Linked DNA regions of Canis lupus familiaris. The protein of the gene in region 2 interacts with the protein of the main gene of each other region in a pairwise test. Links are inferred from orthologs where the notes say so. Each region holds a gene or a part of one and is shown on either strand. Other genes may lie near its edges.

Evidence for each region.
Region 1: the proteins of DDX17 (region 2) and RBM15 interact in binary tests that used the Homo sapiens proteins (3 or more experiments, as listed by UniProt). The link is inferred for Canis lupus familiaris from reciprocal best matches to the Homo sapiens genes DDX17 and RBM15.

The regions. Positions count from the first base shown.
Region 1 is NC_049227.1:42,105,278-42,107,988, forward strand, and holds part of RBM15 (RNA-binding protein 15), read right to left. Parts: coding exon 2,400-2,711; intron 1-2,399. UniProt on the Homo sapiens protein: RNA-binding protein that acts as a key regulator of N6-methyladenosine (m6A) methylation of RNAs, thereby regulating different processes, such as hematopoietic cell homeostasis, alternative splicing of mRNAs and X chromosome inactivation mediated by Xist RNA.
Region 2 is NC_049231.1:27,281,277-27,285,573, forward strand, and holds the start of DDX17 (probable ATP-dependent RNA helicase DDX17), read left to right. Parts: upstream 1-1,438; coding exon 1,439-1,579; intron 1,580-1,917; coding exon 1,918-2,210; intron 2,211-4,297. UniProt on the Homo sapiens protein: As an RNA helicase, unwinds RNA and alters RNA structures through ATP binding and hydrolysis.

The DNA of each region.
Region 1 (2,711 bases), on a different chromosome or scaffold from region 2:
CACAAATGAGAGATTCATCTGAATGATGGCACTCTGTAGGTAAGCACCAAACTCAACATAATTAGTTATTTCTAATACATACATTTAAAAATGGTATCAAGCCATTGTTTCAAAAACACAGAAGCACAAATTGCCCATATCTAACAAAATCCGCCATGTCAGATAGATTCAAATAAACAAACATGGAGCAAAAACCACAGTACTCTTCGGTAAGTTATCACATCAACAGAAAAGAAAAGAAAAGAAAAGAAGAAAAAGGGAAACACCACACTTTGGATTAGAGCAAAATTAAATGTTGTGGACTTCACTCTCTAGAAGAGCAAAATCATTTGTCCAGCCTTCTTATCAAAAGATATTCAAAAGTTAATGGTTAGTGAGATTATTTAAACTGGAAAAATGTATCTAGCCAAACTGTACTTTGACCCCACGTATGCACAGACTGCAAACTCACATTAGTTTCTGAACAGTCTCCTCCATATTAGCGTGCCAAGCACAGCTTTTTAAAAGCAAAAAGCACGAAGTCCTACTTGTAGGATTTCAGATATTTTCCCTACAGGCAGACGGACTTTTGTGCTCATAGCCTAGTACCTTCCTTTTGTCAAAATAGCTAGTTTTTCCAGTTTAAAAACAAAACAAAACGAAACCCCCACAAAAACCTCCCAACTTAAAATTTATAAATGCATAGTGAAAACCAAAAAGGATGATACAGCAGTGATGAAGATTTCATGCTGACATGCATTAGACACCTGTCATAATGGAAAATAAAAAAATTACATGACACTTCCCTGGGTTATTATTGGTGCTATTTCAAAACTACCAGCTTTGATAACAGAAAGAAAACAGTTGAGTTCTGCCAGGCTTTCTATAAGTCACTTTCACAGAATAGAAACATGACCATGATCCAAAAGGTCCTAGAGTTTCTAATCATAATTAAATATCAAGGGCCTTAAAGTCCTCAGCATTTAAATCAAAGGGGGAACTATACTTACTAATGACCTGAGAAACTAGGGGTGAGGACAGAGGGACAGATCAAAAAAATAAGACCAAAAAAAAAAAATAATAATAATAATAATAAAATTTTTTAAAAAATTAAAAAAAATCATCCATTACTGTTCTGCAGCAAAAACCCTTGTTAAGAACCAGAAATCGATTTAACCTTTAGCTTTGAAAAAAATTGTGAGGGTGGGTTAAATTATTTTGTATTAATTTCAGTTGTCTGGGAAATAAAACAATAAAAGGGGGTTTTCCTATACTGACATTTCAGTTTGGACATCAGTGAAAATATTAAACACAGAACTTGAGAGATACTCAACATTTTCAATAATGTAATGTCACCGCTGTTTAAAAATGAAAATAAAAATACAGGCAAAATTTAAGAAGCATGTCAAAGGCATTTCACGATGACTTTAAAAATTTCTGCAATCCAGATATGGCTGATTAATGCCCACTAAAACAAAAAGCTGACTTATGAGCCTGCAGACAACTCTTCTTTCTATTATTGAAATCAGAAATTTGCATGGATACAAAAAAAATTCATCTTTGATGAAAAACACTAAAGTTTTGAAATATGCACAAATTAGAACTGTACCTGCTATACCTCTCTGAAAGTCAGTAAAAACACCACCACACACCAATAACCAAAGAATTCTGATTTTAAAAACACCTACTCACTTCTTGCATACTAGCATAAGACATATATGGTTTGTAACCTACTCCTCGATTTTTACTGAACAGTTACAGCTACAAACCAAAAGTGCATATACGGGATACAGAACTTAAGAACTAATGATAAAAAGGTTTATGTTAAAGCAAACTCTCCGGGAATAAACCATGTATATCAAGAGAAATACTCAAATACCTGATTAAAATAATTAATATTGCTATACAATTTACCAGCTTGTACTTTTAAGATTCCTGATCAAATTTCAGCCACACAAATGATATTTCTGGTACAAGAATTATTTACCTACATACCAATCAAGCCCTTTTTAGATGTATATTATCTTCTTTATATAGTCAGTGGGCTTTTCTCCGAATCCTGACTTTTCAAAATTTTGGGTTTGTAACTCTGAGGATTTTTTTTAAGCTCAAGGTTAAGGGGGGGGAAAAAAAACACAACAAGAAAAAGAAGGGGAAAAGAAGTTACTAAGAGTAGGAACTCCTAATTAAAATAAATCCATCTGCCTGCTACCTTCAGGGCATCCCTTTCACTTAATAGCTAAACTGTCCTGTCTTCTATTTCAAAGGTTTATAAAAATATAAAAAAAAGAAAAAAAGCTTCAACTAAACAAACTAACTCAAAAGAAAATTTCATCTGATGCTGTATCCCATTACACATCACAAAACAGGAACCATGTCAAAGTAGTAAATACAAGTTATACATGGACTTTAGGACGCACCACGGACAATGATCATGACCAGGTAATCTTCTTCAGATTTGGCCAGTGCCTTGGCAGGGGAATCCAGGAACTGCTGGGAGAACTCACAGGGTGGGAAAGCATGTAGGACCCCGGTGTTTTCCTTGTCTTTGTTGCCCCCCACGGGAAGGCTTATCACCCCAGCGGCCTGCTTTTGCTTTAAATAGGACACAAGGTTCCTAAGTGGCCTCTGAGTAGAGGTGGCAGTGTCTGATGTGGCTGAGGAAGAGGAGGACCTGCTGTCAGAACTTCCAGGCACAGCCAGGAGAATGGCATAACCATTGGGACCTGCCA
Region 2 (4,297 bases):
CCCATCATCTCTTGCCTAAACTAGTGCACTAGCTTCCTAATTAGTCTACCTGCTTTTGCCCCAACTCACTCTCAATTTATTCTCTATTCTGTAGTCATAGGGGCCCTTTTATTATGTCACTCTAAAAACTTTATAGAGATTTCCATTTTACAGAAAGGAAAAAACAAAGTCCTTACAGCAGCCTACAAATCCTTCAAATCTCTCCCGTCTTTCCTCATTACAGCCCGCCACGGCCTTTGCATGTGTTCCTTCCTCTGCCAGCAAAGCTAACTCCCTCCCTTTAGGTCGCTGCTCAGATGTCACTGAATTAGAGAGGCCTTCCCCCAGGTCACCCCATGTAACACCGTGACATCCATACACTCCCCTCCCCCACAGACACAGAAACACTATCCCCTTTCCTCGCTTTTTCTATTTTAATCAGCAATCTTTATTTTTTAGTTAGCAATCTTTAAATAACATAAAGATTCATTGTTTTATTCCCCCCCATTGTGGTATAAAGCCCATGAGGGCAGGAACTCACGTGTCCAGTGCCCTCTGCCCCAGTGCCTAGCACAGTGCTGGGCTGATGCAGTGTTCAGCACAGGTCCAGTGGTTCCAATTGTCCATCTGCGCTACGGCCCCAAGGACCTCTGAACGGCTTGTCACCAAGCTCCTTTCCTTGAGCTCCTTTTGTCATAATTTGGGAAACATTTACAACCAAGAGACAACAGCCCCCACAATGAAGGACCTCGAATCCCGCGCCCCCGCCCCCCTCCCCCATCTGTAGAAATAAACAAAAGAGACATCAGATGAGCAGCTCGCGAGGGCCTTAGCAGCTCAACAATTCTGTGACGCTGTCTGGCCAGGTTTGTGAGACCGTCAAGCTCAGTCTGAGTGAGGAGGCAGGAAGTTGGAAACCAGCGTGGAAGGAACTGAGAGGAACATGCTCCGGCCTGGTTAAAAACACGTGCTCAGGCCTTCACCTTCTCTGTGTCGAAAGGCCACGGCTTTTAACCGTCCTCGCCCGGGGAGGGCGCTGAGGGCCTGCCAGGACCTCCCGAGGCAGCGCCGACGAACGGAGACCATGGGACCCGGGAGTCTTCCTCAACAGGGGCTCCACCTGCGTGTTGGTTCTTTGTTAGCCAACTGCGCTCAGCCCCCGACCGTGAATATTCTGCTCAGAAAACGCACTTCGGTGTGAACCAAGCGTAGCAGGGAGTGCTTTAACCTGACTGGGACCTCGTCCGCCGACCACCTCCCGAGAGAACCGACAAGGAGCATCCATCATGGCTGCCGGCAACAGCGCAGCGAGAGGCAACCGAAAGAAAATGGCGCCGGGGCGCGCGGCCGGTGACGGCAGGCCCAGGCCGGCGGAGCGACCCAGGGACGCCATCCAGGAACCCTGAAGACCCGCCTGGACCCAAGGCGCCGGGAAACCCTGACACTTCACGACTGCAATATGGAGGACGGTTATTGTGTCTGCAAACCAACTTGCACAAGGAGGCCCGTGTTCCGTCCCGCGTTCGGAACCCGGCAAAATCTTCTATTCTCCAAACAGAATGCGTTACGCACACTGCGCATCTTCGCAATAGTGGGCCGGGTAACGACGCAAAGAATGTTACGTCGCACCGGAGGCTCTTCCCCTCACCCCACCCCACGTTCTAGTTCAGGTGGCGCGAGCACTCTACGCCCGCTTCGTACTTTATTTTTCTTCTACGGACTGCAACATGTGCCGGTCTGCGCAACTGACGTAAATGGCTTCCAAGAATGCCCTTAGTACTCCGCCAAGCCCTCGGGCTATTCCAAGACGCTGTTTACGTATCGTCTCCGACGTACGTAGCGTTAAGCTGGAGCAGTCTCAGCGCCGGCCGCCATTTTGTGCAGTCGCTGGGAAGGAAGGAGACGCCTAAACCGCGGCACTGCCGGGTTTGAGCGTAGCCAAACCTACCCACAGTTTTTATAACCCCGATTCTCTGTGTTTTGCTCCCGTCTCCGACGAGAGAGGCGGCGACGGTGGCGTCTGCGACGGGAGACAGCGCGTCGGAGCGAGAGAGCGCCGCGCCTGCCGCCGCCCCAACAGCGGAGGCGCCGCCGCCATCGGTCGTCACCAGACCGGAGCCGCAGGCCCTCCCGAGCCCGGCCATCCGTGCCCCGCTCCCAGATCTCTATCCGTTTGGGACCATGCGCGGAGGCGGCTTTGGGGACCGGGACCGGGATCGTGACCGTGGAGGGTAAGGGGGGAGGGGGAGAGGGAAGGCCTCGCGTGTGCGTGGGCCGGGGGGAGGGGGAAGGTTGTTTCCTGAGGAGACCGCAGCCTGCCGCCGAGCGGGAGACCTGGAGCGGACTGCAGGCCTGGGAGCGACGCCCCCGACTCCGGGAGGCGAGGCGACCTGGGACATAATAGCGGTTTGGTGTGCGGGCCTGCGGGTGGGCCTGCGCCCCGGGATCACGGGAGACCCGGCGTGGGGGGGCGGCCTGGCGACGCCCCAGCCCCTCCTTTCGGACCGCAGTCGTGGCGGGGAGCCGGAGCGGCGGCCCGAGCGCCGCAGACCCAGCCTGGCCTCGCCTCGCCGCCCGGCTGCCGGGCCCGGCCGATTTGGGCAAGTCATTTGATCTCTCCAGGCCTCAGCGCTCATCTGTAAAACACGGATGTTCTTGCTGAGAAGAGGAGGAGGTCTCCGAGTTCGGCCTGGGAAAATCTTGACGCCAAATGGCTTCCCTTATCTTATCTGTCGCCAGAGATAACTGCTAAAGGAACTGGAAATCGAGTTGGAAACTAGACGCCAAATGGCTGATTTCTAGTTTTAAATGTATCTTAAAATCCCCTTTAGTGGTATTTCAGATAATTCGAAGGAAGCACTTTGGACAGTAAAGCAGTGGAATTGTTTGCCATCTAAATGATCTTATTTGAGGAGGGGAGGGAGGGTTTTTTGTGGGTTTTTTTGTTTGTTTTTTTTTTGGTTACTGTAGGGTTCCCTCCCACCCTGTGTTCTGTTCTTCTCCAGTTGGACTGGAGTATTAGTTGCTCGGCCTGGTTAGAAAGTTTCGATGCGATAATGCCACGGCTGAAAGTTAACAAGATTAAAGTTCTTCCCAGATACTGAGATTCAGATCTTAACATAAGTTAAAGGGAAAAGTTGCCTAAGAGATGCGAATGTTCGTGCTGTTAACTTTTTGTAATAAAGGTCTTATCTCTGGATAAATAATAATGGAACGCCAGTTATTAATATATATACATATGTGACCTTGGGCAAGATCCTGGACCTTTTTGTGAGCCTATTTTCTCAACTGAAGATGGGCATAATAATTGCCTTTACTTTGCATTGTTTTCGGGAATTGAGATCTATGTAAAATTGTGTCTTTGTGATAGGTGTTCTGTTGATATTTTCTCCAAACATTTTTGTCTTTTGCGGTTCAAATACAGAAGTCCCAGACCTCTAGTCATAAGCACCTCAATTCACTTGAATTGCCGAATAAAAAGGATTATTTTGTTTATACCTTGTTAGAAAAGAAAATATTTGATCTTAGTGTTAAATTTGGAGGGCTAGAAGTGGAATGTTTGCTTAGAGTTTCACAGTATAGCTCAATTTAGAAGTGAATTTCAGTGCAACCACTTGAGACAAAGAATTTTTGACATTACCTAGTAGAAAATGACCCAATAATTCCTTTCTTAAGCTTTGTACCCTAGACACAAGCCTAGAGAAATCATTGTACGTGTTCCCCAGCATTCATGTACAAAAAATGTTCATACCAGCACTGTTCATGAAAATATTGGGAACCACTCTTCTGTCTAGATAAAGGGTGGGTATTCATTACAGTAGAATGTAACACAACCGTGGAAGAAAAAAAAAAAAAACTTGCATCAAAATGGATGACCAGCAAACATTGAAAAAGCAAGTTGTGGTAAAAGGATACGTATATGACCGGACTCCAAAAAGCAAAAATCAAGATGGTAGTTGTAGTGGGTTTGTAAACTTGAAATAGGCACAGAGGGCTACCAAGGTACTGATCATGTTCTGTTTCTTTACCATACCATAGGTGTTTGGTTTAATACTTAATTTCACCATATACATGTTTTAACAAATTATTTGAAAAGAAGAAAAAGTAAATTACTGATCCATATTTCTACCCCATATTGACTATCAGATGACATTTTTTTTAAAGCTTTAAACTTTTCACACAAAATGGCACTTTTTCATGATGTTTGTGTCCTAATTCTACATTTACCATGAAATTGCATTTATGATTTTGAGTTACTATATTCTTAACAATTACAGAGCCGAAATAGATTATTTTGAAGAGAATAAAAGTGAGGTTA